Arabidopsis thaliana: one gene and its partner. The protein of the gene in region 2 interacts with the protein of the main gene of each other region in a pairwise test. Each region holds a gene or a part of one and is shown on either strand. Other genes may lie near its edges.

Region 1 (16,431 bases), on a different chromosome or scaffold from region 2:
TCCAACAAATTTCTTTTGAGGAGACGTTTAATCTCTTCAACGTGTTTTCCATTATATAGTTTACAATAGTCAAATTCGCAATTAAGTCCTAGCATCGAAAAAAAAACATTGAGATGGTGGGATCGACGTGGCTTCTATGTGAATCCTATGTGAATTTATTTGTTCACAGATTCTCCAAGAACAGTCCCATCAACTCTTTTGTTTGGCCTTTTTTCGTATGGTTGTATATATACACATTTTGATAAGGGAATATATTGGACGATAGATAGTGGAACACATATTTATGCATTCCATAGCACTTTAAAATCTTAGGTTTCTGTCCAATAACATTTGTATTTTTTTTCTGTAGTGAAATATAGAGTGAGCATGAGCTCCTTGGTTATCTCTCGATGTGTTATGGTCGTTCGAAGTCGATGTTCAATGGTATTTATAAATCTATTACATAACCAAAACATTCGACATTAAGCAATCGGCAATCCTCCTCATCCTCCAAAACCTCCATTAGGAGCTTTTCCTAATTCGTCGCCTAAACCTAGTTTTTTTCTTGGCGGAAATATTAATTCTCACCTTCCTCATCCATTCTCTATAATTCCTTTTAGTGAATATTAATGACTCGCATGATCATGTTTTCAAGTTGTCATTCACGGACGAGACCTAGGGAACTCAACATTTTTCTACCATTTCATCATACAGTATTAAAGTTTTATGGGATTTTAATTCAAAATCAACTGTTTATGACTGGATATTTTATAACTTACTTTAGAACACATTCCAATATTCTATGTTGAATTCTAACCATACCCTCTCGAGCTGATGATTTTTGTCAACCATCCTTGAATTTAATCTTACATGCGAAATAAAGCGGCATTTTCTTTCACTTTTTCAATTATTTTGTTTTCCCTAAATATTGGTTGTATATGTATGCAAAAACAATGTTTTACAACTCACTGACTAAAAAAGAAAGAAAAAACAAAACAAAAACAAAACAATTTTCAACAAAAGTTTTAATAACTGAGGAATCTGAGAATATTCAAATTTTTATTTTTATTGAAATGTACAATTCATCATTAATAACTAATAAAAATGAAGAAAAAAATCTGAAATTTATATCTTTTTGTAACAATTTTGTTCTTTCTAAAATTTTTGATTAATAAGGAACCGAGGATTTGGATTTATAAACTTATTTGCTCTTCAGTTATAACAAAATCAACAAAATTTTATATTTTTATTCTACCAGATATATCATATAATGGGGTAACACTAAGTATTCGTTTGGGGAAATAAACTTTAAAAAAAAAATCGAATTTACAAGTTCTTAAAAATGTCTAATTAATTTCCTCAATATATTTGAGCTTAATAGTTTGGGCCCTTATCGATATGGGCCTAAACCCTCTCACATAGACGCGAACAGTTTTAGAAAGGAACCGAGATATTTTTTTCAGTAGAGAGAGCTTGAAGTGAACACACGAAGAAACCATGGCGGGAATCGATACGCAGAAGCAGCTTCTCTCTCTGATCCGCGATTTCACCTCTGAAAGATCTCGTGGAGGTAAGATACTTCATACATTTTGTACTTCTTCTGGATGTTTCGCGAAGAAGAAGAAGTCGGAAAGCGTGTAGTAGAAATTCGAAACAAAATCGAACAGATATACATTGTTGGTTATTTCTAGTTTTTGGTGTAATCGGAGAATTTATTTGTTCTGATTGTTTGTGGTTTTTCAAATTAAGAGCAAAGAGTTGTTGGATTGAAGAAACGGATCGAGATTTTACAATCGGAAGTTGAAGCAGCGAATTCAGAAGTTGAGCATGCGAAGCGTATCAAAGAAGTAGCGGAAGAGGAGCTTAATGGTTACGAAGTTGAATTGTCTTTGAACGATTCTACGATTCAATCTCTCGAGGTTTTGATTTAATTGGCTTTTGGGATGAATAAGAAGTTTTGGTGTCTAATGAGATTGAAACTGTGTTTTATGTTTAATTTTTAATCACATGCTAGGATCAGTCTTCTTCAGGATGAAGTAACTACTATTGGCAATGAAGTTGATGCTCTTAAGGTTTGCCTACACATTGTTTCTTTGAGTTTTAGTGCTTGGTTGGTTGATTTCTTCGTTTGACATTCTGGAATTTTTGTTGATGACTTGATGGTTGGTGAAATATAGAACAAGGAAGGGTTACTCAGGTGATTTTGATCTTTCTAACGTCTTAATAAGTTATAGTTCTTGATTTATACCTAGGTTATGTTTGGTAAATTGTTTATACTCTTTGTGATATACAGAGATCAGTTTATAAGCCAAATGGAAGAACTGAACAAGGAGATAAGGTTATTTTCTATTCTTTGCGTTTTCATCTTATGATGTTGCTACACATCTTAAGTTGCTTGGTTGGTAAAAGGGAGTTCCAGAAAACAGTAGATTCGAGTTTGGCCGATGAGGATAGTACTGGCATAACCGCAAGTGAGTAGCTAATGTTTGCAGTTTACTCTTCTTGTCTGATTTTTCACTGTGTTATTAAGAGATGATGGCTTCTGGATGAGTTTGTAATAGCAGATATCAAAGCTTTTGAGGATTGCTCTGGAGATGATTTAGAAGCTATTAAGAATTTGCTATCTGATGTACATTCTCAATTGGCGAAAGAGGAAGAAGGATACCTGGCTGAGCAGAAGATGCAAGAACAGGTAAAATGGACCAGGACCAAGTTGCTTGAATGTTGTTACTTTGCTGCTCCTAATACCTTTTCTAGCTTATCAATTCCCTGTTTTTTAGATTTTGTTTATTCATACTATGAAGAGAAGAAATGGGGATCAATATCGGTTTCTCTATATGTAGCTGCAGAAGGAGTTTGATGAGTATGAGAAAAAAATGTCACTCATTGAGGCCATAACAGAGAAAACAAATTCAGTTCAAGTTCTTGCTAAATATCCTTAATTCCGCTTGCTAGTGAAACATGATTTATATACTCATAATTACAGTTGCATAATCATTTATCACATTTTCACCTGCTAGTTCTGTTCTTTATTGAGGCGGCATGTACTGTACTCTACAGCAAGGCAATTTTTTCCTAGGATAGAAAAGCAAGCCAGTGCTTGTACTTTTCAGGTTGACTTGCCATTCTTTCAAAAGAATAGTTCCCTTGACAGAAAACAAGCAGACGTCCGAGTTGGAACAGATATTGGCTTCACTCGGGGAGGAGCTGCAAAAGAAATGCCGATGTCAACAATGCCAAGCAGAGAATTTGGAAGTTTTGAGCTTACTTCTTCAGGGAGATCAAGTATGTTGACCCTTACCAACTATTTTTCTCATTTCTATATACCATTTTCGACATGCCATGGAATTACTGGAAACAAATGCATTAATGTTTTTATGGTATTGGTCAGCATGATGTATCCGTGTTCAGATATCTCTCTACCTGTACAAAAAACTATTTGCTGTACCAAAACCAATGAACCCTAACCGAAATCTCAAGAGTTAAGAAATATAGAAAGCATCAATCACATATAGACCTACCAGATTTCTCTTAGACAGGTTGAAGCAGCTAGTGTCTAGTTCAGGCTCATAAATAGATTTTTGTAGTCTTCTTAAACAGGATACTCAGGAAAAGACATCATATATATATATAGATTCTGATCTATTTTACCTGGAATTCTCATCCTGAAAGTATGTAGGCATGTCCGCATCTGTATAGGTAGGTACTTTGACTGCTACGATAATAGTGAAGAGACTGATGATGATCAGAGAACCCGTTCTCACTTGGCTATGAAAGCGAGGAGAATCTGTCAACATGACTAAGATTGCATTGTCAAAGTTTATTGTTTCTGTAAACTTTGATATGTACAAGTTTTTCTTTTATCCATTGTAGGATAAGGAGGTGTCTTAGTTAAAGCCAATCTCACTTGTGGTTGCTTGAGGAAAGATTTATTTACTCGGTCCCAAGATGGTAAGACATTGACTTTTCACCTCTCAGGATCTAAGAAACCACTTGTCTAGAAACTTAACCAAACGTGCAATGATGAAGGAAATAATACTAGTCCGTAGCTAGTTTCATCAACAGTGATCATGTTCTTTGGTTTTAAAAGGTATAGACGCAATGAACCCCAGCATTATTTTTACACCAACAACTAACAAACCCAATAATACGTCTACATGGTAACATGCTTCATGTTTTAGGCTTGTGAAACATATGTGAATTTATAATTTATACATATCTGACCTTTCTCTGAAGACTGACCAATGAGAAATAAGAGCCTGTGGGACCTTTTGCTAACAAGGAAGCGTGTGTCCCACTTTCTACAACTTTTCCTTTGTCTAAAACAGCAATCGTGTCGCAGTTCTGGATCGTGCTAAGCCTATGTGCGATCACAACGCTTGTTTTCCCTACCATCACATGTTCGAGGGCGTCTTGCACTACACGCTCTGATTGGCTGTCCAAAGCGCTTGTAGCTTCATCGAGGAGCAAAATTGATGGATTCTTTAAAATCGTTCGGGCGATAGCTATCCTCTGTTTTTGACCACCAGACAATTGTACTCCTCTGTCTCCGCAGTACGTATCATAGCCGTCTGATAGTGATGTAATGAACTCGTGAGCGTTTGCCGTCTTTCCTGCCTCGATAATCTCCGACTCGTCGATCTTGTTAGATGCTCGTCCATACATTATGTTTTCTCGGATTGTCCCCGCGAATAATGTTGGTTCTTGACTAACCAAAGACATGTGTTGACGAAGTGATCTTAGATGATACGACCTTATATCACGGCCATCGATTTTCACAATACCTTGTAACGGGTCATAGAACCGTTCGATTAACCCGATTACAGTTGACTTACCCGACCGACTTGGACCTACGATCGCTGTCGACTTTCCCTCGTGGATCTCTATGGAGAAGTTGTTGAATATAACCATATTAGGTCGCGTTGGGTAAGCGAAGTCCACATTGAGAAATGTGATTTGGCCCTTTATTTTTTCTAAGATATACCCATCCGGATTCTCCGGCTCAATGGTGGTTCGACGATCTAACACTGTGAATACTGAGTCAACTGAATTTGAGCCCTTGGCTAGATCTGTCGTCATTGTCCCAGCTTCGGCAATAGCCCGGCCTGTAGTCTTAAAGATCAAAAATAACTCAAAGAATGCTTTTGATACCATCTTCCCATCAGCGATTAATTTACCACCATACCAAAAATTCAAAGCTGAGGTGCACGTTATAAGGCTTTGCGTAGTCCCCAACATAATCCCAGCTAACCATGATTGGCGGGCACTTTCTCTTCGTGGACCTTCTTGAACTCTCTCGAGTAATTTCATGATCCGTTCTTGTGATGAGAAGGTTGTGATGGTTCGGATGTTGGAGACAGCCTCTGCAGCTAGTTTACTGCTTTCATCTTGGGCAATGATGGCTTTTTTCGACATGTTCTTGAGCAGAACACGTTGAATATAATAGCAGACAATAATTACTGGTTGTACTGAAATCATCACAATGGTGAATCTCCAAGCGATGACCAAACCAATTGTGCAAGCTACCATAACTGTTGATATGGTTTGTACCAGCAATGACATTCTTTCACCAACGAGCGACCTTACCTATCATGACAAAGCAATTCAAGATCAATAAATGGTAAATATATTTCTCATTGAAGGTCAAATTAATAAGGCAGAAAATATACCACGTTAGCATCTTTCGCTAGTCTGGAGCAAATTGCACCACTTGAGTTCTCTTCCTCATCGAACCAATTGACTTCAAACGTTAGTATCTTCGAGAGCATCTGTTCTCGGATACGTTTAGTCAGGTATTCTCCCATGTAGGAAAAACTATATTGTTGACTGATACTAGTAAAAAAAGTGAATAGAGCTAGACCAAAAAATAATAACACGTAAATTCTTGTATTCTCTTTGATCTGCTCATGGTTGGTTAGGAAAAATACCGATATCATTAACCCGGACGAATATGCGTAAATTGGTTGTACGGCCCCACCTAAGGATGCACTTAAGCAACCACATAATGCATGTTTCCACTCTGGTCTATTCATTGCCATCAATCTCTTAAACGATGGCACAAGCGGCTTCTTATCTTGAGGAATCGAGTCAGAAAGATTCGTAACAATGCTTGAACTCATGCTATGAGCCAAGTCTCTTGGATTATAATCCAAATCGTTTCTTAAACTCGAGACTCGGCCCTCTTTCACACCTACGCTAGTGTTATCACATGATTCTTCATTCTTCATTTGTTGTAAGCGAACTAGAGAAGTGTATTTACCATCTATCTCCATGAGTTTGTCGTGCGATCCAGTTTCTACAATGCAACCATTATGTAGAACACATATAATATCAGCATTACGAATGGTAGAGAGACGGTGGGCAATAACAATAGTTGTACGACCAACTGATGCATTGTCTAAGGCTTCTTGGACCACCCTTTCAGATTCTAAATCCAATGCGCTTGTTGCCTCGTCTAGGAGAAGAATTATCGGTGATTTGATTAACGCTCGTGCAATTGCGATTCTCTGCTTCTGGCCTCCCGACATATGCACTCCTCTCTCCCCAACCTTTTCGGTTTACACAAAAACCAAATATACGTTCTCATTAACAAACTAAACACAAAAAAGGCTTTAAAAATTTACTCTAAAGATATGAGTCTAAACCTGAGTTTGGTAACCATGAGGAAATTGCGAAATAAAATTATGAGCATTTGAGGCCTTGGCTGCTTCCACTACTTCATCAAAGGATGCGTCCTCTTTACCAAATAATATGTTCTCCTTTATCGATGTGGCAAAGAGCGATGGCTCTTGGCTAACCATACCCATTTGCGATCTCAACCATTTCACTTGCATATTATTAATGGACACACTATCAATGAGAATATCGCCTTCGTTCGGGTCATAGAACCTTTGTAAAAGCGATATCACTGTTGATTTTCCCGATCCACTTCCGCCAACCAGAGCTACAGTTTTCCCTGATGGAATTTTCAGACATAAATCATCAAAGATTAGGGTTTCGGGTCTAGACGGGTACTTGCACTTCACGTTGTTGAATTCAACTTCTCCTCTTATAGTCTCCAAAATATGACCATTCAAGTTGTCTGAATCTATATCAGGGACTCTTTTTATCATTTTTTGAATCCGTTCCCCTGCCACAAACGCCTCGGAGAAATATTTAAGATTCGACAATGCTTGACCAAGTGCTCTGCATAATGTAAAATACCAAATATCAAAACTAAGAGATGTTTTTTTTTTTGTGTGTTAGGAAATGCCAAGAGACTTAAACTTAAATACTTACGTGCCACCAAAGGTGACGCAAACTGTGACTGTGGAGACAGTACCACCTTTGTAGCCATAGTTCATAACCATCCGACTTCCATACCAAGTCAAGAACCCCCATATAGCATAAACTATACCATTGCTCCCAATAGCAATTCCTTTAGCTAGCCCTTGTCTCAACCCTAGCTTCACCGACCCTTGAAGCGCATCTGAGAACTTTTCTATCATCTTCTTCTCACTAACAAATGCATAGACGGTTCTAACCGAAGAGATGGCTTGTTCGGCGATAGAACCAGCTTCATTGTACTCCTCACGTATTTTCCTCGAGATGCCAATGAGGGCTCGTCCGTACATTAGTCCAGGGATCAAGAGGAGAATGATGAATGGGAAGCCTACGATTGTGAGTCTCCACAGCAACATGAAACCCACTATGTAGCTTCCGACAAACGCAGATGCATTCATCAAAATGTTTGGTAACTGTTTGAATTCAAAATCATCAAAAAAATTGTTTAAGAACAAGAAATATGATAAATAAAAATTGAAAACCTTTTCACTGAGGAAGTCTTGAATGACAAGGCTGTCACTAGAGACACTGGTAATAATATCAGAAGTGCTTGTGACATGAAGATCAAAGTAACCCACATCTTGTCTTAACACTGCTCTTAAGTACCTTTCTCTCATTTTTGCTGCTTGTCTCTCCCCTGTTCTTGTCCAACAATATCCTTCTGTTTTAAATATTAAACCCATCCACAAAATTAAACAAAATTTGTTATATTGAGGTGCACCAAATTAATATTTTAATTTGATAAAAAAAAAATTGAAAGAAACACACTTACCAAGGAAACATATCACCCAAGATGCACAAGCCACATAAAGCATGGCTAGAGCATTCTGTTAGTTACAACGTGAAAAAAAGAAGGAAGATACTATATTAGTACTCTTTCCTATATATTTAAGTAATGTAATTGATATGTGGGGCAATATAGTAATCGTAATCTTACTACACGTTGAGTTATAGTAAGAAGTTTAAGATTATGTAATAAAATATTTGGGTTTTCACATTTCTCTTATTGCTATCCCTATTTAACATACACATATGGACATATATGTAAGACGATAGTTTTTTATTTTTTGAAAAAGTCATAAGCCGATCGTTTTAATTAAGAATCCCACCATGCTTGGTCTACTTGGTCATGTCTAGTTTTGATTTTCCATTTTAAGGTAAATTTCTTGGCTGGAATTTGTACAACTCTCTGTCATCATTACATGAGAAACCACTTGTTATGTCTACAGTCTACTCATTGGAAAAAAAAAAGTCTACTCATTTAAATATTGTAATTTAGTTAATTCTATCATAATTGTTGGATTATTGCTAGTTTATTTGGCTAAAATAATCTAACTACACCCAGTAAGCCAATGTTCAATTGCCTTTTTGACCCGCCCTTCATAATCCAGTCTATCTGCTTCTTCTTTGAATGTTTGGTAGTAACTAATTTATGGGAATGTGAGAAATATTTTTATTTAAATTGGCTATGAACGTATTAAATAGCAAAAATATATGTATTTTAGTCATCATTTTAGAGATTAGCATGGCTCTCACTTTCAGTCTCGAACTCTTGCTTACCAACTTTTTTAGTTATAGAATATAATATCCTATGGAAATTAAACTAAATTCTTTGAATTTAAATTTTAATGAAACAAAACTTTTTGTTTATCCCCTTAACCTACAAAATCAATTTAAATAACATTAAATGAAAAAATAGCATTGCTTAATTTGCTTTACTCTTTACAACTCAAAGAATATAAAATTATATAAAACAATTCATGTAATATTTAATTTTTAAAATACTATAATTTAAATATATATATATATATATTGTATTATTGTATATAATCTTATATACTTAAATTAGTATTATGATCCTACTTAGAGAGAATATAAACCAAAACAAAGAGAAAAGAAGAGAGATAGAGAGAAAGGACCTTGGAAATGGGTTGCATGAAGGTTTCATCGTTGAAAGAGAAACTACCGAAGTCGTTCAATAGCATGGCTGTGATGAAAAAAAGAATAGGAGTGATGAAGCCATCACCGACGGCTCCGATTAACCCTAATCCCATCAACATCCAATCTACACCGTCGGCATGCATGAATATTGATCTCATGCTTCCCCATGTCTTCATCTTCTTCTCTCTTTTTCTTCAAGAACAAAAGATTCTCTCTTTTCATTTATATTTGTGGATTTTTTTCAAGTGTAATGTTATTTTTTCCGTCTTCCTGATTGTTCTATATATAGTAGCCGAGACAGAGCGACTTCACCGAAAGTGATATGATATGATATATATAATATTATTTGTTAACATCTGTTATATACCTGCAGTACCTATTTTAATTCGGTAAAACTTATACAACTCCTCGCGAAGACGCGAACCAGGCTCAGTAACCTAGCTACAAGAAAACAAATAAAATAATATATGCTGAGTACTTCAAGGCTTTAAGCTAATAAATTAGTTTTCAAAATTTAATTTGTGTATGAACTTCAAATACTTTCGTGTATTGCTGTTTCTTTTTCTTTGATAAACAATTAGGTTAATTTCTTCATTAATTCACAATGCTTTTGTAAAGATATTGATTTGATTTTACGACATAACGACGAACGTCAATATCAAAATAGTTTAAATTTCTCATACCATACAATTTTTTTTTTTTTTTAGGAAACATACTTATTTGAGTTTTTATTGCATACTTTCGCAAAGTTAAAGGGACTTCTCATGATTTGGCAAAATGACCGCAATTTTTCTTGTGGACGTCACCAGCGACTACTCGATTTAAAAAGATAGTACAGGAGATTGTTTAGCATGTTATTCTAGACTCAAATTTTATGATCTAATTTTTATAGATGTCTTTCTCGCAACATTACAAAGAGAACACGGCAAATTACGTCGGTTAATATTAAGTGTAACGTCAGTTATATATAAGCTGACTTAAAACTTCTACCGTCAGTTTGGAGACCGTCGTATTATTGTATGACGTTAATATTGTCTCGCTTTAAAGTCAATTACAAAGAAGCTCGTAAAAGTTCTTAAGCATAAGCTAATAAATCAAATAAACAGTTTAGACTCTGATTTATGTAGTGGACATTTATTTTAATGGACCTTCATATATTAAAAATTTTACGTTGGTTTACGAAGTGAAGCTGGTAAATCGACGTCATCCATTTTCTGTAGTGAAATCTTATATGGACAATCACTCTGGGAGTGTTGTTAAAAGTTTAATGTTTGATTGGAAACAATAGTAAATTGCTAATCTCTTTAGCTTATACTTTATGAAAGTGATTGCTAATCTCTTTAGATTATGCTCTTTCTTTTAAAGATTCCATGTTGCCCACCAAAGAAGACAGTAAAAACGACTCGATAGTGAACCAGAAAACCAAGAAATATACAATATGGAAGTGAAATATTATAATCAATGCTTCCTCTCTACCACCATGTTTATAATTCCATGTTTTCCACTGCCAAAGTGTGATTTCTATCAAGAGATTTGTAGTTCAAAGTCTTATAATTAATCAATAGAAAAGTACGTACTCAACAAAATATGCAATACATTCTATAATTTCAATTACAATAATTATTTCTGAAAAAAACGAGAAACAATAAAAGGATTTCAAGTAGTCCGAACTCATCTAGAAAGCTAGAGAAGACGGGTCAATCAACAAGACAATGCATCATCTTGATCAACTCCGCGCAATCAGTCTCAAAATCTAGTCTCTCGATCCCCTCAAAAAACATGGTTTAAAAACTCTAAATAAAGAGAGACAAAACTAGGGTTGGCAATCCTTCCAAGATCCATCCACTTGAAAATTTTCATGTGTTATGGACCTTACCAGTTGAACTATTACATCGGCAAGTTAATTGAGCTTCCTTCCAAGCCTTGAAATCAGATATAGTATGACTTGAAATATCTGATGGCTCACGAAAGTCCATGTGAGATATCACAAATGAACTTCTTTGTCCGCTTACAAAATTTCAAAAACCTGATTTTTTTCCAAAGATAACTAATTAAAAAGCCGATGAGATTAGAGATAAGACCCACGTTTATAGTGAAAGATGACATTTAAATAATGTCTGCTTAACTCTTTCCTCATATCCTCCACATCTTAGGTAATATCACGAAGAAATCATCTATCTCTTAAGTCTCATGTCATGTCAATATGCTATTTTCCTCGTATGCTGAATTTGTCACTACTGAAGTTCTTGCTCGATATAAATGTTATTTCTTTTCCCAAGTGGATGACATGACAAAAGTGACAACGCAACGTAGAATTAGGGCAACTATCTATTTTACTGTTTTAGTTATATAGTTGTTATCATAGTTTTTGTAACGTTCTAACCGCCACTATGACCCCTTTAAAACTTGTAAAAAATATATAGAAGAGTTACGAAAATTAGAACTTTTCCAAACAAGAAATAAAAATTAATAACACACCCAATAGTTGTACGAAAACCATTTCCGTTAAATCATTACTAGAACTTTGTTTATTTTACTACAAACTAAATTATGTAAAAGGTGGTATCTTTGAGAGAAATATTTTGAATTTATTAGTGTATACGAAAACCATTTCCACTTTATTAGTCGAATTATGTATAAGATAGTCGCACTAGCAGATTGAGAAAAAGATGTCCACTGGATTATTGGGAGTGATCGGTATGCACTTTAGTTTAAAAGTCCTAAAGTCCTCTAAATTTACTAATGGATTTTTTCAATTTTGTATTCATGTTAATTACGTCTGGTTAACTCTTTCCTCATATCCTCCACATCTTAACTAAAGTTGTATCACGAAGAAATCCTCTATCTCCAAAGTGTCATGTCAATAAGCTATTTTATTGATGAGACGTTTAATCAGTTTAACGTGTTTTCCATTATATAGTCAATTTCAGTTTAACAATAGTTTACAATAGTCAATTTCGCAATTTAACTCTTAGCATCGAAAAAAATAACTTTCAGATGGTGGATTCGACGTGGCTCCTATGTGAATCCTAAGAACATATATTTGCTCATAGATTCTCCAAGAACAGTGCCATCTTTTGTTTGGCCTTCTTTTTCGTATGGTTGTTTATACACATTTTCATAAGGGAATATATTGTACGATAGATAGGGGAACAGATATATATATATATATATACATTATATTTTTGTGGGATTTATGCATTCCATAGCACTAAAAAAATCTTTTGTTTTTGTCCAATAACATATGGAGTTTTTCTCTATCAAAAATCATTTTATACTTTAAATATATCATAAATATTTAAATATATATGACCCTGTAATTAAAATTTATGCTTTAAATGTATCATTTCATACTATATTTTCTCTATTAGAATATAGGGTGAGCGGAGCCAGAATTTTTGTTTACGGATCATAAATATTTAATTATTTTTATTTAAATATAATATGATATGATATATTTAAAGTATAAATTTTTAAGAAGAGATGAACTACAAACAAAAATCTGAAACAAAATGTCTAAAACAGAAGAAACAAAATTAATATGTAAGAAGATGTTAGAAATTTTTATCCATTTTGAAAGAAAAAAAAAATAAAAATGGAAAGAGGATTAACATTTAATTGAAAAAATGAAAATGCATGGGTCAAAGGCATGGTTCTAGTTTCTACCATCATAAAAAAGAGGCATGATTCTAGTACTATTTATGGGGGTCATTATGACAACTTTAAAGAAAAACATCTAGAAATCATTATCTACGTTATAATTAAAAAATTATAAATGTTATGGGGGTCAACTGACCCCCTTGCCAATACACTAGCTCCGCTACTAGAATATCCCTATGCTCCTCGGTTATCTCTCAATGGATCATGATCGTTTGGGTTGATGTACAATTGTATTTATAATTTATGACATACAACCCCACAAGTTTTTTAGGCCTGTTATTAAAAAAAAAACGTAAATTTGAACTATTATCTTTTGAAATTAAAATCTATTGTTTTTACTAATAGGACAAGAAAATACTTTTAAAATGCACGCCGATTATATTGGCTATATAATCTATGGCCGCACGCAGATGCTTCATCAATTTTTGTCCAGGGCGGCTATGATGACATACCATAACGTTTGCTACTAACTAATCTCCTTCATCCTCTAAAACATCCTCCCACTGGAGCTATCACTAATTTGTCGACTAAACCTAGTTTCACATTCGTCATCCACTCTCCATAATTCCTTTTAGTGAAGAAGATTCACCTGATCATGTTTTGAAAGTAGTCATTCACGTCAATCAAATTAAGTTTCATGAGATTTAACTGAAATATGGGTTAGATACAATTTTCATGACGTCAATTTTCATAAATACAGTTTCGATAACCCTCGATAATTTGGGCCTCCATAAATATGGGCCGATATTTCTAATTTTTCGCCTCTCTCATAGACGCGAACAGTTTTAGAAAGGAACCGAGATATTTTTCTCAGTAGAGAGCTTGAACACACGAAGAAACCATGGCGGGAATCGATACGCAGAAGCAGCTTCTCTCTCTGATCCGCGATTTCACCTCTGAAAGATCTCGTGGAGGTAAGATACTTCATACATTTTCTTCGTTTTCTGGAGATTTCGCGAAGAAGAAGAAATCGGAATGTGTTTAATAGAAATTTGTACAGATTCTGGAGAAGATGATATAGATTTCCATTATTTTGAGTTTTAGTTGTTGATTGTATGCGATTTTGATCTTATCAGTCTCTGTAATTGGAGAATTTATTGTTCTGATTGTTTGTGATTTTTCAAATTAAGAGCAAAGAGTTGTTGGATTGAAGAAGAGAATAGAGATTTTACAATCGGAAGTTGAAGCAGCGAATTCAGAAGTTGAGAAAGCGAAGCGTATCAAAGAAGTAGCGGAAGAGGAGCTTAATGGTTACGAAGTTGAATTGTCTTTGAATGATGCTACGATTCAATCTCTCGAGGTTTTGATTTTCTTTGGTTTTACTTGATTTTCTACGATTCAATCTCGATGAATAAGAAGTTTTGGTGTCTAATGAGATCGAAACTGTGTTTCGTTTTTTTTTTCTCAGGCAAGGATTAGTCTTCTTCAGGATGAAGTTACTACTATTGGCAGTGAAGTTGATGCTCTTAAGGTTTGGCTACACTTTGTTTGTTGAAATTGTTAATGCTTGGTTGGTTGATTTCTTCGTTTGATATTCTGGAATTTTTGTTAATGACTTGATGGTTGGTGAAATAAAGAACAAGGAAGGATTACTCAGGTGATTTTGATATTTCTAACGTCTTAATAAGTTCTAGTTCTTGATGTATACTTAGGTTATGTTTGTTAAATTGCTTGTTCTCTTTGTGATATTCAGAGATCAGTTTATAAGCCAAATGGAAGAACTGAACAAGGAGATAAGGTTATTTTCTATTCTTTGCGTTATCATCTTGTACCTGGTGTAACACATCTAAGTTGCTTGGTTGGTAATAGGGAGTTCCAGAAAACAGTAGATTCGAGTTTGAGCAGTGATGATGGTATTGGCATTACAGCAAGTGAGTAACGAATGTTTGTAGTTTACTCTTCTTGTCTGATTTTTCACTGTTTTAGTAAGAGACGATGGCTTCTGGATATGTTTCATAATTGCAGATGTCAAAGCTTCTGAAGACGGTTCTGGAGCTGATTTAGAAGCTATAAAGGGAATGCTATCTGAAGTAAATTCTCAATTGGCAAAAGAGGAAGAAGGATACCTGGCAGAGCAGAAGATACAAGAACAGGTAATGTAATAGGAGTCAATTGTAAACTTTGCTGCTTCAAATATCTTTTGCTAGCTTATCCATTCCCTGTTTTTTAGATTTTGTTTAATCATTCAGTGAGGAGAACAAATTGGTATTTGATAATTTGGTGTTTCTATCTGTAGCTGCAGAAGGAGCTTGACGACTATGAGAAGAAAATGTCACTCATGGAGGCCATTACAGACAAAACGAATTCAGTGCAAGTTCTCACTAGATATCCTTTAATTCTGTTAGCTGGTGAAGCATAATTTATAAAATGATAATTACGGTCGCAGTAATCATTTATCACATTTACGCCAGTGCTTGTACCTTTCATTTCGATTTGCCATTCTTTCAAAAGAATAGTTTCCTTGACAAAAAACAAGCAGACTTCTGAGTTGGAACAGACATTGGCTTCACTTGGGGAGGAGCTGCAAAGGAGATGCCGATGCCAACATTGCGAGGCGGAAAATTTGGAAGTCCTGAGCTTACTTCTTCAGGGAGATCAAGTATGTTAACCCTTACAAACTATTTTTTTCTCATTTCTAAATAACTTTTTTGAACTACCACCAAGATACTGGAACCAAAAGCTTTTACATTCGTATGTTATGGGCTTATCTGGAAAGTGGAATGTTGACAACGGTCTGGTGTATCCATGTTCAGATATTTTCCGTTTCTCTAGTTTTTTTTACTAAAACCTATTTGAAATCTGTTAGTGTAAACCTTATTACAGAAACCAATAAAACTTTTAACCAGAATTTCAAAGTTAAGATAGAAGGCATCTATCACATGTAGACGAACCAAGTTTCTCTTAGACAGATTGAAGCAGGCAGTCTCTAGTTAAGGCTCATAAATAGACTTTTGTGGTCTATTGATCATCTAGTTTTCACTGATACTGCTTTGTAAAACGTATAGTCAAGAAAAGACTCCGTATATATGTTCTGCTTCATTTTAGCTGGAATTATCATCCTTAAAGAATGTAGACTTGTGTTTGGGTAGCTATGATTTTAAGAAGCATACTCTCTGTATATGAGTTACCTTTCTAATTTTGGGCACTTCGATTTTACCTTATTATATACTAGTGATGAGACTGGTGATGCTAAAAAAACTGGCTCTCACTTATCTGTGTGAGGGTAGTATCTGTCAACATGACTAGATTGTACTATCAAATTTGTAATCTTAGACTAAGCTTTTCGTTTCTGTTTGATATTTCCCTGCAAGCTTTCATGTTGAAAACATTGTTATATTTTGCAGGATATGGAGGTGTCTTAGTTAAAAGCCGATCTCACTTGTGGTTACTGGGGAAAAGATTAATATACTCGGGTCTCAAGATGGTAAGTCATTTACTTTCACCTCTCAGGATCTAAGAAACATACTTGTCTAGAAATTTTACTAAATATGCAATGATGAAGCTAACAACAGTAGTCCCTAGTGTCTA
Region 2 (14,665 bases):
ATATATATACAAATTTATTAATGTCAAGTGTCAACATATTCAAACTATCAACCATATTCAATTTCACATGATTTTTTTTAACAAATTAAGAATTCATCAATGAAATCACAAACAATTTTATTTCATTAATAAATATATTTTGTACTACATATTGTATATATAACATAATGTATCATGTTTACATAGTGCTCAAAATTCAAAAACAAAAGAAAAAATCTTTATGTTTTGGTCAGTTATCAAAGACTTTAAGATATCATTAATTTTATGATTGATAAAGAGAGAAGATAAATATATTTGACAAGAAAGTGGCACCGATGCTAATTAATAATAAAGAACGTTATCATATCAAATATGATTTGTCGTATACTCGTAACTTACGAATAATGCTATCACTTAATCATTTTAATAGATGTTTTAACTTAACTTTAACCATTATGCGACTCGGCAAAGGTTGTCATGCATAAATATTTTTTTTGTGATTTTATAAGTTAAATGGGGTTACCAGTTACCAATCAAAAATCATAATATTTTTTTTTTTTTTGAATTTAATGTTAAATTATATTTAAAAAGTAAATAAACGTTTATACATCAAGTGCAACATATGATTGAAAGAGTAGAAAATTTTTTGTAAAAAAGCTCATGATCTTGATTGAAACTATAGTTGGAGAGCCTTATCATATCGATAGTCTCCGCTTGCTGCGATTGTGGAAATTTGATTCCTCATTTGTTTGTCGAGCCACCGGATTAGATGAGTCGCTGAATTCGAACGTTCCCCATGTCTTCTACCATTTCTCTCATGCCATATGGTGTGTATGGTTTCCTGGAAGATGTATCTAGCAAGAAAACTCTCTGTTCTGTTTCGCCAAGTAGTAGAGACAGAAGTTAAAATAGTAGACCAGTTTGTTGAGAACTTAGTTTTGTATATGTTTTTGGCAAGATTTTCCCATATTTCTGCGGTGTAGCAGCAGGAGAAAAATAGGTGGTTTCTTGTTTCGATATTGTTGTTGCAGAGTACACAAGTTAATCATAATAATATTGAGCTAACCTGGAAAACAAGATAACAAACCAAAACCTCGTGAAGCAGAAGTTAAATAATATTTTAGTACAGTAAGATATTTAGAATATTTTTTTACTTCTGCTTCACATATTTGGTTTGCTGTCTTGCTTCCCAAATTATTTCAATAGATAACTAAAATAGTTAAAAGTACAAACACTATTATAGCTTAAGTTAAATGTTGAAGGTAACTAAAAAATTTGATAAGAAAAAGAAAAATGTGCAAGTGTAACACTCTTGATTTATGAAGTTTGAGAAACTCAACTCTAATGTCAAAGACTCGTAGTTAATACTTAATAATAGTGCACTATCAATCAACGAATTTTTATCATGCATTAATATTTAATTTTGAGTTGGCAATAGTATAAATTAAACAAGGTTATGGCTAGCTTCTCGCACCATGACTCATGCGTGATGACTGATGAGTAAATGAAGCTCAAAACAAGGTATTGTCCAGTGACTTCAGTTATCTGGCTGTCTACTAACGAACCAAGTAAAAATGCAATGGTATATCACTAATTATACGTATTCAAACTCTAATCTATCGCCTTTAGTTTTCCTCGTCCGACCACATAAATATTAAATGTTGCATTTACATGACAAAATGATTAATTACCACTTATTTTTTCTGAGAGGACATTTTGGTACGAACAAATTGTCAAGTTTTTGAATCGAGGACAAGCACCATAATCTCCACCCATATTATTTATGATGGATAGGTATCAGTATTAAATTTAACATAAGATTTTTTTGTTTGGATGAATGAAAGAAAAAAATAACAAAAAGTTGGAATGTAATACACATATAATCATCTATATAAAAAAGGTTTATCAAAATCATAACATACAATTATTTGTATGTGGTAAATAACATACCCCGATTTATTGATTAGGTACTAGATCCTCTTTTACTGCCAGATTATGTCTATCAAATCTTGAAACAATAGTTTTGACAAGTAATTTGCATTGTGGTGGTGGAAGTGTAGATTTATTATATTTAGACTATTCCAACATACCAGAAAACTAATATTAAAAATTATTTCTAGTTATTTTTAAACATCACACATTTCATTCTCCACAAAAAAAATGAATTCTGTCTTTAAAATTCAACTAATTAACCAACTGTAAAATAACAAAAACTAAGGAGTGACTTGACAAAGATTGTGACTGTAATTTCCATTTTTGTAATAAATTTTAGATAACTAGAGTTTTTACTGTATATAAGTTTTGGATGTAGAAATTCTAGCAATAAAATTAAACAAAATCTACTTAATGTATGGTTATTTTGTTCTCAAATGAATTATTTTTGTTAAAGGTTTTAAAAGAATCCCATTATTATGGATTCGTTAGTATATCTTCCCTATATTGGTTTATGAGCAATTGTTGTCATTATATCTCAATTGTTTGTAGTTTTTAGTCTTATATGTATAAAAAGAAATTTGTGAAGGTGTTAGGTGTCTCAAAGTTTAGGTTCGAATTTTTGTGGTGTTTAAAGAACGAAAAAAAAAAATATACTATGTTTTGGGCACGTGGTCGCCACGGGGTACGTGAATAGACAAAAAACATGCGTTGGTGGCTTGTGGTGCTGTGACGACGGTATGGGTCCCACTGGCTTATCCACTTCGCCGCGTTTTTCGGTTTTAGCTCATAAGGTGGGACCCACACTCTTAATGGCCTGATCCTCATCTTCTCACCGACGAAATATTACCATAAACCTAACTGAGTTGACCAATTGGGCATTTTTTTTTCATTTTTTCAAAGTTTCTACTTTTTTTATAGGCTCTATTTTAAACGTAAAGATAATTATTATGCGAATACCTTAATTTAGAGGATTACTGTCAAGTTACTATCAATGCAAGGCAACCAACTATCTTAATTTTTTTGTTAATTATATTAGCTATTTAACAAAAAATTTAATTGTTTGCAGTTATAAAATAATTAGAAATTGTCGTTCAATATTTACGGATATAACTGGTAGACATTATTAGAGTATGATAATTTATTTTTGGTGGATTTATACCTTTCTTTGTGTTGTTTTTCTTCTGTTCATTCATTCCTCTCTATTACAATGTAATTACTCTAGTATCTTACCAATCATAACCTCTACATTTGTTTTTACACAACGATACACATCACGAAATTTGAAGTCTATAATTTACGTGTGTAATATTTAACAAGGAGTCAAAGAAAATCTTACGCAGACCCACCAAAAGAGATTCTAATTAAAAATTTCTTAATCAATGGTCTGATATTTATATACAGTCACAATCACCACAGATCTTACAATATCAACTTTATTTGTCTCTTACCTTCCTAATTCTTTTTGTAATGAAAATTTACTTAATTTTAATATATATGAAAAACTTTTAAATGACAGAATTATAAAAAATCAGGAAAATAATATTTTAATACAAATTATTAAAATAATTTCCTAAATAATATGTCAAAATTTTGAACATCATTAAAAAAAATGAGAGAGAGTATATAAACATGATACGTGTACGGTGTACCCAACCCTAGTCGGCAATGGTGACACCAGGAAAGAAACAAATAAAGATAAATGTTCATCTTTTCAAAAGGACAAAAATTAAAGAAGATAGCACATAGAGATAAGAAAAGGAAATGGAAAGTTGTGAAAATGACCTAACGAGTGGATAAATATTAAATACAGACTAAGCAGGAATCATAAATTGTCTTGGAAGTTATAGACAACCGTGCAAGTCTTTTTATTATGGGCATAAATCAAAGGCCACTTCAATTGTTCTAGTTCCAACCTTTGTCCGCAAGTCGACAAAACTAATATCATGTCTATTTTTTATTTTATTTTTTTGAAACTGTGGGTTGTGTGTTGGTGTAAGATTACTATTTTTGATCAATCATCCTTTTTTTGGGACCGATAGGTATGGAATTCGGATCGGATTTTTGGATTTGAAGATCTTGTCTACTTCTAGTTAAGAACACTACTTACTCGCAAAACTGTATCTTAAAAAAGACGTGGTACAATGAGATACGAAATTTATTAAGAGACGTGGTACAAAGAGATACTTTTGTTTTTGGATTAAGTCAAGATGCATCAGAAATTACTGTAGACTGCTTTTTGGTATGTTTAAACTTAAAACCAAATAGGGATATTATAAAAGAACGACACAAAATTAATCGGCAAAAGAAAAAACATATTAGTTGAAACGAAGCAACACAATTTGTTTAGTTTATAATATTTTGGTGAATAGTTTGTTTTGCATTACAGAATGCAATTACATTTTATAAACTTATATGGTTAGTAAACAAATTGTGAAGGTGTTACAAATTTTCTCTCTTTATATGGTTACTAAAAAAATGTGAAATGTGTTACAAATCCCAAATTTCCTCATTTGAAAGTCACCAATCAAAACTGGTAATGTGAAAGAATTAAGGACAATTTATCAATTTAGTAAGGATATTAGATATGAGTCCAATTTTTTAGACCAAACATCAGTCGAATAGACACCAATGCACCCTTCCACTGATTTTCACTTCAGTTGTTTTCCCTAGAAAAAAAATTGCTTCAAAACCCGACTATTTAGCTCGTATTGCTACAATCCATTCATGTAATTTGCGGTCTGGTTGTCGATGCCACTAGTTTAAGTTATTTCTATTTATTAACAACTCTTTAGGTGAAAAGAAATAATCTCTCCTAACTCACAGTTATCTTCTAAGTTACTCTGCTTCAATATCAAATGTTTATCAAGTCTTGAAAACCAAGGAGTTATTATTAATTTTACCATCCAAACATTTGTTTAAAATAACTAAATTCCCAATCACAAAATTCTTGAGTGATTGTTTCAGTTTGTAGGTATATTACTATCACATGCACAATTTCTAAACATGTTGCACATGTACGTGGGTTTATATATAATGTAATTCAAAGACATGCCAATGCTTAATTTCTTCACTTTGATAGAAACAAATAGTGTACATGACATAGCATACACATAGAAATTAGCAGTAGATACAAATTGTTATTGGATATCAAATCGATAGTTGCATAAACTTCAATATACAACTATATTATGTTTTTCTTTTATTGTTTTAATTTATCAACTAAGAGATTCCGAACAGAAAAATCTATTTATATATTTTTAAACGATTCGAAGCAACATTAAATAATTTATTTGTACTGTTTGTCATTTAATCATATGATTTCTTAAATTATTTCTGAATATTTTTCCAATCAAAGTAGCAATTTTTAGTAACTATACTATGTTATAATTTGTTTGTTCTATAATAGTTTTGACAGTGATGGAAAAGAGTCTATTTATCCAGAAAATGACCCCTTCGACTATAAACAAATATAAATGATGGTTGTTATTCAAAGCATAGGTGAAGGTGTCCCTTCACTTTGTTGTATTGACTTTTATTTAATAAGTAATCCAAACTCGACCAATACGAATAATCTACTACATAAACATATATGAGAGTTTTATTTGTACACTCGTCTTTTGAATTTGACATTTGTATGTGAAGCTGTCACAAATTTTGTAATATTTTTAGTTATTATAAAATATATTGTGGAGGGGCAACTTAACATGTCACTAGCTAGTAGCCAAATTAAATTCAAAGATTTTTGTTTAATGAGATTTTTAATTAGAGCTTTAAGTGACATAAAGGGGATAAAAAGAAGCGCAGTGAGTTACAAGTAGGATTCACTTTGTAATTAGAAATTTGTTTTTCGACATTAATATGAAAAAGAATGTCACATTATCTACTTTAACATCCAATCAAAGACTAACTCAAATCCCACTTACCTATTGGTCTCTATGCTTCTTTAACAAATATCTTTAGTTGAAACTCAGATTATTCAATTAATATGATTATAAACCACCATGCGAATTTAGTAGTGATGCAAAAAATATGCACATCTAAACTCAATTATCAATTTTAAATTTAGCAACACACTAGACTATAATCACAAGTGAATTTGGTATATTTGTATTAAGTAGTTGATACACTTTTATTTCCCTAAGTATTAGAATATAAATAATATTAGGAAATCTTCAACCTTTGCTTGTTCCTTACGGTAACGACAGTCACAGACGTCAACCGCAAGAAACAAACCCTAATTCATGGAGATATCCAGAGGAGAAATGTTCCAAAGAGAGTATAGCTAAAGAATCATACACTAGACCATATAAGTCATCCCAGCTTGCAAGATGTTCATATGAGGAACAGTGAGATTCGCAGCTCCAGCTCTGCAATTTCTCCTTAGAAACGCATAGAAGTAATTAATCACAAGCTTCTTCACGAAAATCGAATTCTTCTTCGCCCTTACATCTCCATGAGCCAGTAAATACGTTAGCCCCGAGTCTGTGGCTTCTCTCAAAGCCGCAAGTTCATATTCCAGAGCTGGATCTTCCTCCATAGACGACCCTACGCTTGAAGATGGCAAAACCTCTGAATCCAACTCTTGCTCTGGCTCAGAACGCTTTGCACGGTGGATGAGAGGAGCCATGAGGTCGTCCGTGTAAGTATCACTTGCAACGGAAACTCTATCGGGATCAAAATCATTCAGAGTGCTCTCTAGAGCATCCTCTAATGCTTCACATCTCAAGAACTTCTCTAGACTTTCAATAAGAAGCTGTTCAAAGACTCTAGAATCTTCTTTTCTGACATCTTTGTAACCATACCTCGCAATGCACCTGAACATATGGTAGTCCTTAGGACAAACCCGTCTGAAGAGGAACCTCTCTTCTTGAGGAACAACCGGGACAGGAACATATTTGATGCAGACAAAGATGATTGTTGAGTGAATCGCAGGAAGAGTGAGCAAGAACTGTCCAAAAATGGAAGGTATACCTTGGACAAGCTCGTTATAAAGGAGTCCAATCCCAGGGATTCGAATGGTCCCAAGAGTTGAACCGAGCTCACGCATAAAATCCATGGAGATTCTTTCCCTGACCTCGCTTTGGTACTTGAGTACACTTCCGTAGTTCCAAATGTACATTACAGTGAGGAAGAAAGTGGCGAATACTAGCGGAACCCAACCGCCTTCCAATATCTTGGTGAGAACAGCTAGCAAGTAAATGGTCTCCACTGATCCAAATATAAGGGGAAAGCAAAGGGCGAGAAATATATTGGTTTGCCAAATAAGAAGCATCACTAGAGTTACCAAAACTGTGCTAACCATCATTACACCTACCTCTGCTATGCCTGAAACAGGAAAAAAGAAGAAAAAATATCAAAACGAGAAAGCCTTTTCAGGACTCTGCGTAGAAATCAAACCGAAAGACTGACCGTAAGCATTGGCAATGTGGGTTGTGCTTCTGAAGATGGAGACGACAAGAATGCACATGATCATCAAGAACCAGTTGATAACTGGTATATAGATTTGACCTATCCGTTTCTTAGAAGTGTGGATTATCTTCAGCCTTGGAAAGCAACCGAGAGCCATGGCTTGTTTGACGCATGAGAAAGTCGCGGAGATCATGGCTTGGCTAGCTATCATAGCAGCTAATGTTGCAATCACAAACACCGGCCAGAACAAACTCTCTGCTCAACATTGCATTTTATCACAACTTTCAGAATTTTTGACATCTAATATAATCAAAGCTGAGAGATTAAGGATATATTGAACTATTACTTGGAACTGAATCATAGAATATGCGAGCTGAGGCCTCGGGATGCTTTGTTAGATAAGCAGCTTGACCCATGTAAGCTAAGAGAAGGCATGGGAACACCACGCAAGTAAATGCCATCTGTATAGAACGAACTGAGAAATGTCCTAAATCTGCAAACATTGCTTCAGCTCCTGCGTAGTTTTAAACACTTTGTAAGAAAGGTTTGATTTATTTTAGAAGTTGTTAAGCGTGTTGACTTACCTGTTATGCATAAGACACATCCACCAAGAGCAGACCAAGCCTGTTTGCTATTCTTGTTGAAGAACAAAACGATATAAAACGGGTTTAGTGCTCTTATGACAGTGAAGTCATACTTCAACAGATTATAGATTCCAATAGCACCAAGAGAGAAGAACCAGAGCGCCAGAACTGGAGCAAATAGAAAACCAACTTTACCCGTCCCAAACCGTTGTATGCTGAACAAAGCCACGAGAATCACAATCGAAGACATAACCAATGCATCTGACAAGAACAACACATCAAGATTGAAAATCAAAGATCAAATTGACATCAAGACATAGAGAGAGAAATCATGTGATAATGATACCCACTTGTTCCAAATCCTTTAACTTCACCTTGTAGACCACTCATTGCAGACATCACTGCAGAAGAATCAAAAGGAAGATCAAATTCCAACTGTAAATGCAGCTCAAGTTACACTGTATTAATACAAATAAGACTCACCTGACATAGCTGGTGTTAGAATTCCATCGCCAATAATCATGGAAGTTCCCATTAGGACTAAAAGCAAAAGAAGAGTTTTCAAATACCCTTTTGTCTCCAAAGCTTCTTTAATCCCCAGAGCTCTTTCCAGCTCAGGAGTTGGGAGTTTAAGCCTAAAACTCGAGATCTGCTCATCCGCAGGTTGTTGATTTGGCAGCTTATTCACCTTTGCATACCTACAAATAAGTGAATACAACGCAAATGTCCCTCCTGCACACATAACAAACATATCCTGAGAAACCACTTAAATATCTCACTTTACTAAACACATCGGTGCGGAAGCATTACCTTCGCCATTGTCGTTAGCTTTAAGGACTACAAATACATACTTTGCCAAAGGAATCACAGCAATAGTGTAGATAACGAGAGACAAAGCTCCAAGAACATCAACTTCTGATCTTATAGGAACTTTACTAAACACATCACTGAACACATACAAAGGACTTGTTCCCATATCACCATACACAACACCTAACGTCTGAAACGCTATTCCAAGTGTAGTCAAAAGTGACAAATCCTAAAAAAGTTTTCATTTTTCAATGTCAATAACACAAACACAACATGTGCACTTATAAAAATCAAAACTTTAATCATGGGTGATTAACCTTGAGATTGTGACCATGAGAACCTGCAATTTCCATAGCTTCAACATCAAGAGAATCAGCTCTTTTGGGTTTTTTCATTAATCTTCTCCTCAAATTCCCAAAACTATAGTCTCTATCTCTGATTTCTGAAAACAGCGGCGTTTCAGAGTCTACCTCGCTTCCATCAACCCATCTCCGGTCACTACTTCCGGTACCAACACGTCTTATGCTGTTGTTGCTGCTTCCTTCTTCAATTTCCTCCATTATTTAGAATAATCCTCCAAAACGAGAAGAAGCAGAGAAACTAACAACTCTGTTTTCTTGAAAGGATTATAATTTTGGTTGGAGGAAAAATTAGAAGAGATTGGATTGGTCATTGTTATTGGTTGAGTGTGACTTCACTCTCTGACAATATCTCACGGGTAACATGTTCATAGTTACTGTCAAGAAACAGACAATTATTTGAACTACTTTAATAACGTTCCCAATGAAAACACTATATTTTTTTTTTTTTTTCCTCGATTATCTATCCTTATCCTATAAAAGTATTTTAGTTCCTTCTTTCTTTTGTTATGTATAATGGAAATTTACTTTATTCAAGAAAAAATTTACTCTTTTTAGTTTCTTTGCTTTTTTGGTAGCAACATTTTCCCCAATGGAGAACAAGGATCTCTGTCTCAACCATTTTTTTAGATACATTTTACTCTATTTTATTTGATATACAATAGATTTTAGTTTAATTTTTTGTTGTTTCAAGAAACACATTATAAAGAGAGAATTTTTTTTTTTCGATGGGTGAAAATTTTGTTTTATCAAAAAAAATTGTTGATTTGTAATTGTAATATAAAATTTGCTACATATGTATAATTATTTTAATCTATATATACATTTTTGCAGCCACTTTGTGAAATAAATCCTCAAGTTGGGACTTATTTACAGTGGCTGCCACTGACATTTAATAATTATTTTTGATAATTAGAAAGTAAATCTTCGAATTAAATATTTGACATTTAACTATCTTCCCGAAATCTCTCCATATTAACTACACAATTAGTTACTAAAATAAAACTTCCAAAATATTTAATATCATTTAAACACTACAAAATTATCATTTTTGATATTGCTTTTTTCATGACTATAACAATTCGATTATAAGCATCAAACCGCAGAAATATTTGATAGCAGTTAATTACTACAAAATTACAAAATATTTATACAATGATTTATAAATATATCATAAATAAAATCAACATTAATAAAATAAATAGGTTTCTTTTACGGGACGGGTTTGGCAGGACGTTACTTAATAACAATTGTAAACTTTAAAATAAAAATATTTTATATATAGATACAATTTGCAAATTTTTATATATATTAAAAAATTAATTATCCCCGCGGTGTACCGCGGATTAAAATCTAGTGTGACATAAAATAGAACTGAAGCAAACCTAAAGAGTAACTTCCTTTTGTAGAAATATAATTATTTCAACAAAAGATTGTATAGTAAGATATTTTAAAACGGAAATTTGCAGAAGCCCATTTACTAGTGTTAGTTTCAAAGAAGGCCCATTAAAAAAGGCCCAAATATTGCCGGCTTCGAAACTCGACTTTTTTATAGCACACAAGGTTTCAACTGAAAACATTCCTCTTCGCCTTCCTAAGGAAAAAACACTAGTCGCTCGCTGCTCTTCAATTTTCTTCTCGAATCTAATCGATTGATTTCTCCTTCGATTCTTCAGGTAACTTTTGATTATCCTCCTCTAATCAATTGTGTATATCCCAAGCTTTCTCTATAAATTAGGGTTTCTGAATCAACGATTTTTCTTTTATCCGTAGGAGAATCACTGAAGCTTTTGCCTCCCAAGTAGAAAGAGATATGGTAAGCGTTTCTTTAACTCTATTTTCTTCATTGTTTCAGTTATTGGCGATTGTATTCTCTGTTTATTGTAATCGTATTGTGTTAATTTTGATTTGACTCATCTTCTCTAAAGTTCAATTTCAAAATTAGGGATTCCGAGATCATAGATATTGCTTTGTTTCCGAGATTTGAGTTATTCTTAAGCTTGTTTTACTAACTTTCAATATGTTGGATTTGTTATAGGCAACTCTTGAAGATTCTTTCCTTGCTGATTTGGACGAGTTATCTGACAATGAAGCAGAATTGGTGAGTGTTAAAACACTTTTGATTACTATTATCTGTTTACTTGGAGGAGCTATGATTGTAATTGTAGTTTGTTTGATTATACATATGCAGGACGAGAATGATGGTGATGTTGGAAAGGAAGAAGAAGATGTTGATATGGATATGGCTGATTTAGAGACACTTAACTATGATGATCTCGATAATGTTTCTAAGCTGCAGAAGAGTCAGAGATATGCTGATATTATGCATAAAGTAGAGGAGGCTCTTGGGAAAGATTCTGATGGAGCTGAGAAAGGAACTGTCTTGGAAGATGATCCTGAGTATAAGCTTATTGTGGATTGTAATCAGCTTTCGGTCGATATTGAGAATGAAATCGTTATTGTCCACAACTTTATCAAAGACAAGTACAAGCTTAAGTTTCAAGAGCTTGAGTCGTTGGTTCATCACCCTATTGACTATGCATGTGTTGTGAAGAAGATTGGGAATGAGACGGATTTGGCTCTTGTTGATCTCGCTGACCTTCTTCCTTCAGCTATTATCATGGTTGTTTCAGTTACTGCTTTAACTACGAAAGGGAGTGCACTGCCAGAGGATGTTTTGCAAAAGGTGTTAGAGGCTTGTGATCGGGCTTTAGATCTTGATTCCGCAAGGAAGAAGGTCCTTGAGTTTGTTGAAAGTAAGATGGGATCTATTGCACCTAATCTTTCTGCTATTGTTGGGAGTGCTGTTGCAGCCAAACTCATGGGGACTGCTGGAGGTTTGTCAGCACTTGCTAAAATGCCTGCGTGTAATGTTCAAGTTCTTGGCCACAAGAGGAAGAACCTTGCTGGGTTTTCTTCTGCAACGTCTCAGTCCCGTGTGGGTTATCTGGAGCAGACAGAGATTTACCAAAGCACGCCTCCTGGACTTCAGGCTCGCGCTGGCAGGCTCGTGGCTGCAAAATCAACTTTGGCAGCAAGAGTTGATGCTACTAGAGGGGATCCGTTAGGGATAAGTGGAAAAGCTTTCAGGGAGGAGATCCGTAAGAAGATTGAGAAATGGCAAGAACCTCCTCCTGCAAGACAGCCTAAGCCACTTCCTGTTCCTGATTCTGAACCGAAGAAAAGAAGGGGTGGTCGCCGTCTAAGAAAAATGAAAGAAAGGTAGCCTTTTTCATCCTACTTTGTGTCCTTAATTACTGTAGATTGAGTTCTATTCACCTGTATTTATTTTGTTGCATTCTTACGTTTCTCTTTAAATCAGGTATCAAGTAACAGATATGAGGAAGCTGGCCAACAGAATGGCGTTTGGTACACCTGAAGAGAGCTCCCTCGGTAATATATCTTGTAGTTACACTTGTTAATGGCCACTTATAAGGCACTTAGTCTAATATCTACTCTTCATGATGATAGGTGATGGACTAGGAGAAGGTTATGGAATGCTTGGCCAGGCAGGAAGCAACAGGCTGCGAGTATCCAGTGTTCCGAGCAAGCTTAAGATTAATGCTAAGGTCGCCAAAAAGTAAGTGTTCCTCTATTTCTCCTGTGTTTTTTCGGATTTATCATGTTAATATTTTTACTCTTACAAATTATCCTGCCCTGTTCTTCTTCCATCATATCTCATTTGCGTCTTTATATCAATTACTTTTTCAGGCTTAAAGAAAGGCAGTATGCGGGTGGTGCGACTACCTCTGGTTTGACATCGAGCCTGGCTTTCACTCCTGTGCAGGTACAAACATTTCATTCGATTCTTGACAAAAGTTTGATCCTGTGTTCCATTTGCATCACTGTCTGACTCCAATTGGTTATCTATTTGACAGGGAATAGAGTTGTGCAATCCTCAGCAGGCTTTAGGATTAGGAAGTGGGACTCAAAGCACTTACTTCTCAGAGTCAGGAACCTTCTCGAAGCTGAAGAAGATCTAAAATATGGAAGACAGAGATACAAGTCTTGAAAAGCCGAGCACTAAAAGTGTAAAAATGAAACAAAGGTGGAAAGAAACTGCTTTCTCTATCTCATGTCTGTTTTAAGGTTTCTTCGGTCACTTAAGAGACAAAAGGCATTGTTTTGATCACTCTTTGGAAACGTTTTATAAATTTTATTTTTGTATTAGAGCCATACCTAAAGATCCATCTTCTTATTACCATCATACATGACACAAGCCATTGCAGGTTTTAACCACTCTTCGAACATAGTTAGTAAAAACAAGAAAAGAAAAAACACTATATTTAATTGAGGTTCAATCAAGACTAAACCAAATGATTCACACCACTCATAGTCTCAGTGTGGTTGAGAGCACAATCAAGACATTATTCTTCTGAGAAAATGTTGGAACAAACTCTTTTAACTTAGACCTAAGGTAATGTTCGTTTAACTGAACGACCATCTTGTCTAATATCTTTGTGTTTTTAAGCATAAGTTCCACGAATAAAGTCACTCTCTTTGACCCTAAATTCGAACGGGATTTATTCCAAAAGACCCCATCTTTTGATCTCCAACATTGATTCGGATTCAAGCCTTGCAAGTCCAAGTAGTTGTCAAAACACCTACCCTACACAACAGAAGAGTAAACATGGTTCTTGGATTATTAGAAGGAAGGTAGTTAGAAGGTAGGCCATGAAAAAAATCAAAGAAGTTTGTGGTAAATATACCGGCATGATGTTGCCATCACTTGGACGAACTGTCACCGTCTTTAAATCAGGTGAGTTTTGTAAAAGTCTTTCTATACCAGGAATAACATACTGAAAGATATCTGTCTCAAGAGTCAAAGCTTTTGTCTTGAACATCGGGAAAGGAAGACCGCAAACCTCGGCAAGAGATAAAATCTAACACAAAGATAGATAGTCAACACCAAAACGCATATTGATGAGTACCATTAGTCCATTAGTAAACTTATATAGCATCGGTAAACGTTGAGTGTGCAACCAACATAAGTGAAGTAAGTAAGAGAGTACTTGAAGACATTGGAGAATGCAAGAATGAGCCCAAAACATACCTGAAGAATGTTGCACCCAAAAATAAGCTTCTCTGCATTCTGCAACTTCTCTAGCATTTTAAGAATGTCTTGAAGTAAATAAGCGTCGAGGGTCTTTAGATGTGAGTAAATGAAACAGTCCACTTGAGCTTCATCTAAAGACGAGACATCAACTAAAGCACATGGTGACTGATAGGTTTTCAGTCTGAGACGATGGATATGCGGTGCCACAATCTGCCTTGGCCTCGTATTGTCAATGTTGCAGGCTATTTCTAATGTTCTCAAGCGCAGCGATTTGCTAAGATCAAGAACCGTAAGGTAGATGCAGTGGGACAATGTTAAGCTTTCGAGAATCGGACAACCAGATAGAATCTTCGCAATACATTCATCAGAGAGCTCACAAAAACGCAGGGACAACTTCTTCAGGGACGTCCAAGATACGGAACATCTAGGAATCATATTAAATAACTCAAAAGCTGAGTTGCTTAATAGAGGAATTGATGTAGAAGAAATCAGGAAGATTATAACTATGAAAAAAAGTACTACTGAATGATAGA

What was found.
Region 1: the proteins of AT1G60160 (region 2) and ABCB16 interact in a protein complementation assay, tested with the Arabidopsis thaliana proteins (one large-scale study listed by BioGRID).

What each region holds. Positions count from the first base shown.
Region 1 is NC_003074.8:10,606,883-10,623,313, forward strand, and holds ABCB16 (P-glycoprotein 16), read right to left. Parts: upstream 9,480-16,431; 5' UTR 9,420-9,479; coding exon 9,222-9,419; intron 8,130-9,221; coding exon 8,075-8,129; intron 7,964-8,074; coding exon 7,785-7,963; intron 7,716-7,784; coding exon 7,258-7,715; intron 7,165-7,257; coding exon 6,624-7,164; intron 6,528-6,623; coding exon 5,649-6,527; intron 5,566-5,648; coding exon 4,189-5,565; 3' UTR 4,142-4,188; downstream 1-4,141. Other genes in the region: AT3G28370 (spindle assembly checkpoint component), read left to right, coding at 13,745-13,817, 14,034-14,203, 14,312-14,374, 14,481-14,500, 14,597-14,641, 14,713-14,774, 14,869-14,996, 15,140-15,251 and 2 more.
Region 2 is NC_003070.9:22,182,119-22,196,783, forward strand, and holds AT1G60160 (Potassium transporter family protein), read right to left. Parts: upstream 9,426-14,665; 5' UTR 9,278-9,425; coding exon 9,035-9,277; intron 8,947-9,034; coding exon 8,718-8,946; intron 8,640-8,717; coding exon 8,391-8,639; intron 8,309-8,390; coding exon 8,258-8,308; intron 8,169-8,257; coding exon 7,908-8,168; intron 7,838-7,907; coding exon 7,670-7,837; intron 7,579-7,669; coding exon 7,324-7,578; intron 7,240-7,323; coding exon 6,212-7,239; 3' UTR 5,912-6,211; downstream 1-5,911. Other genes in the region: emb1220 (pre-mRNA processing ribonucleoprotein binding region-containing protein), read left to right, coding at 10,890-10,892, 11,115-11,177, 11,268-12,298, 12,399-12,469, 12,548-12,656, 12,788-12,863, 12,955-13,059. UniProt on the Arabidopsis thaliana protein: Putative potassium transporter.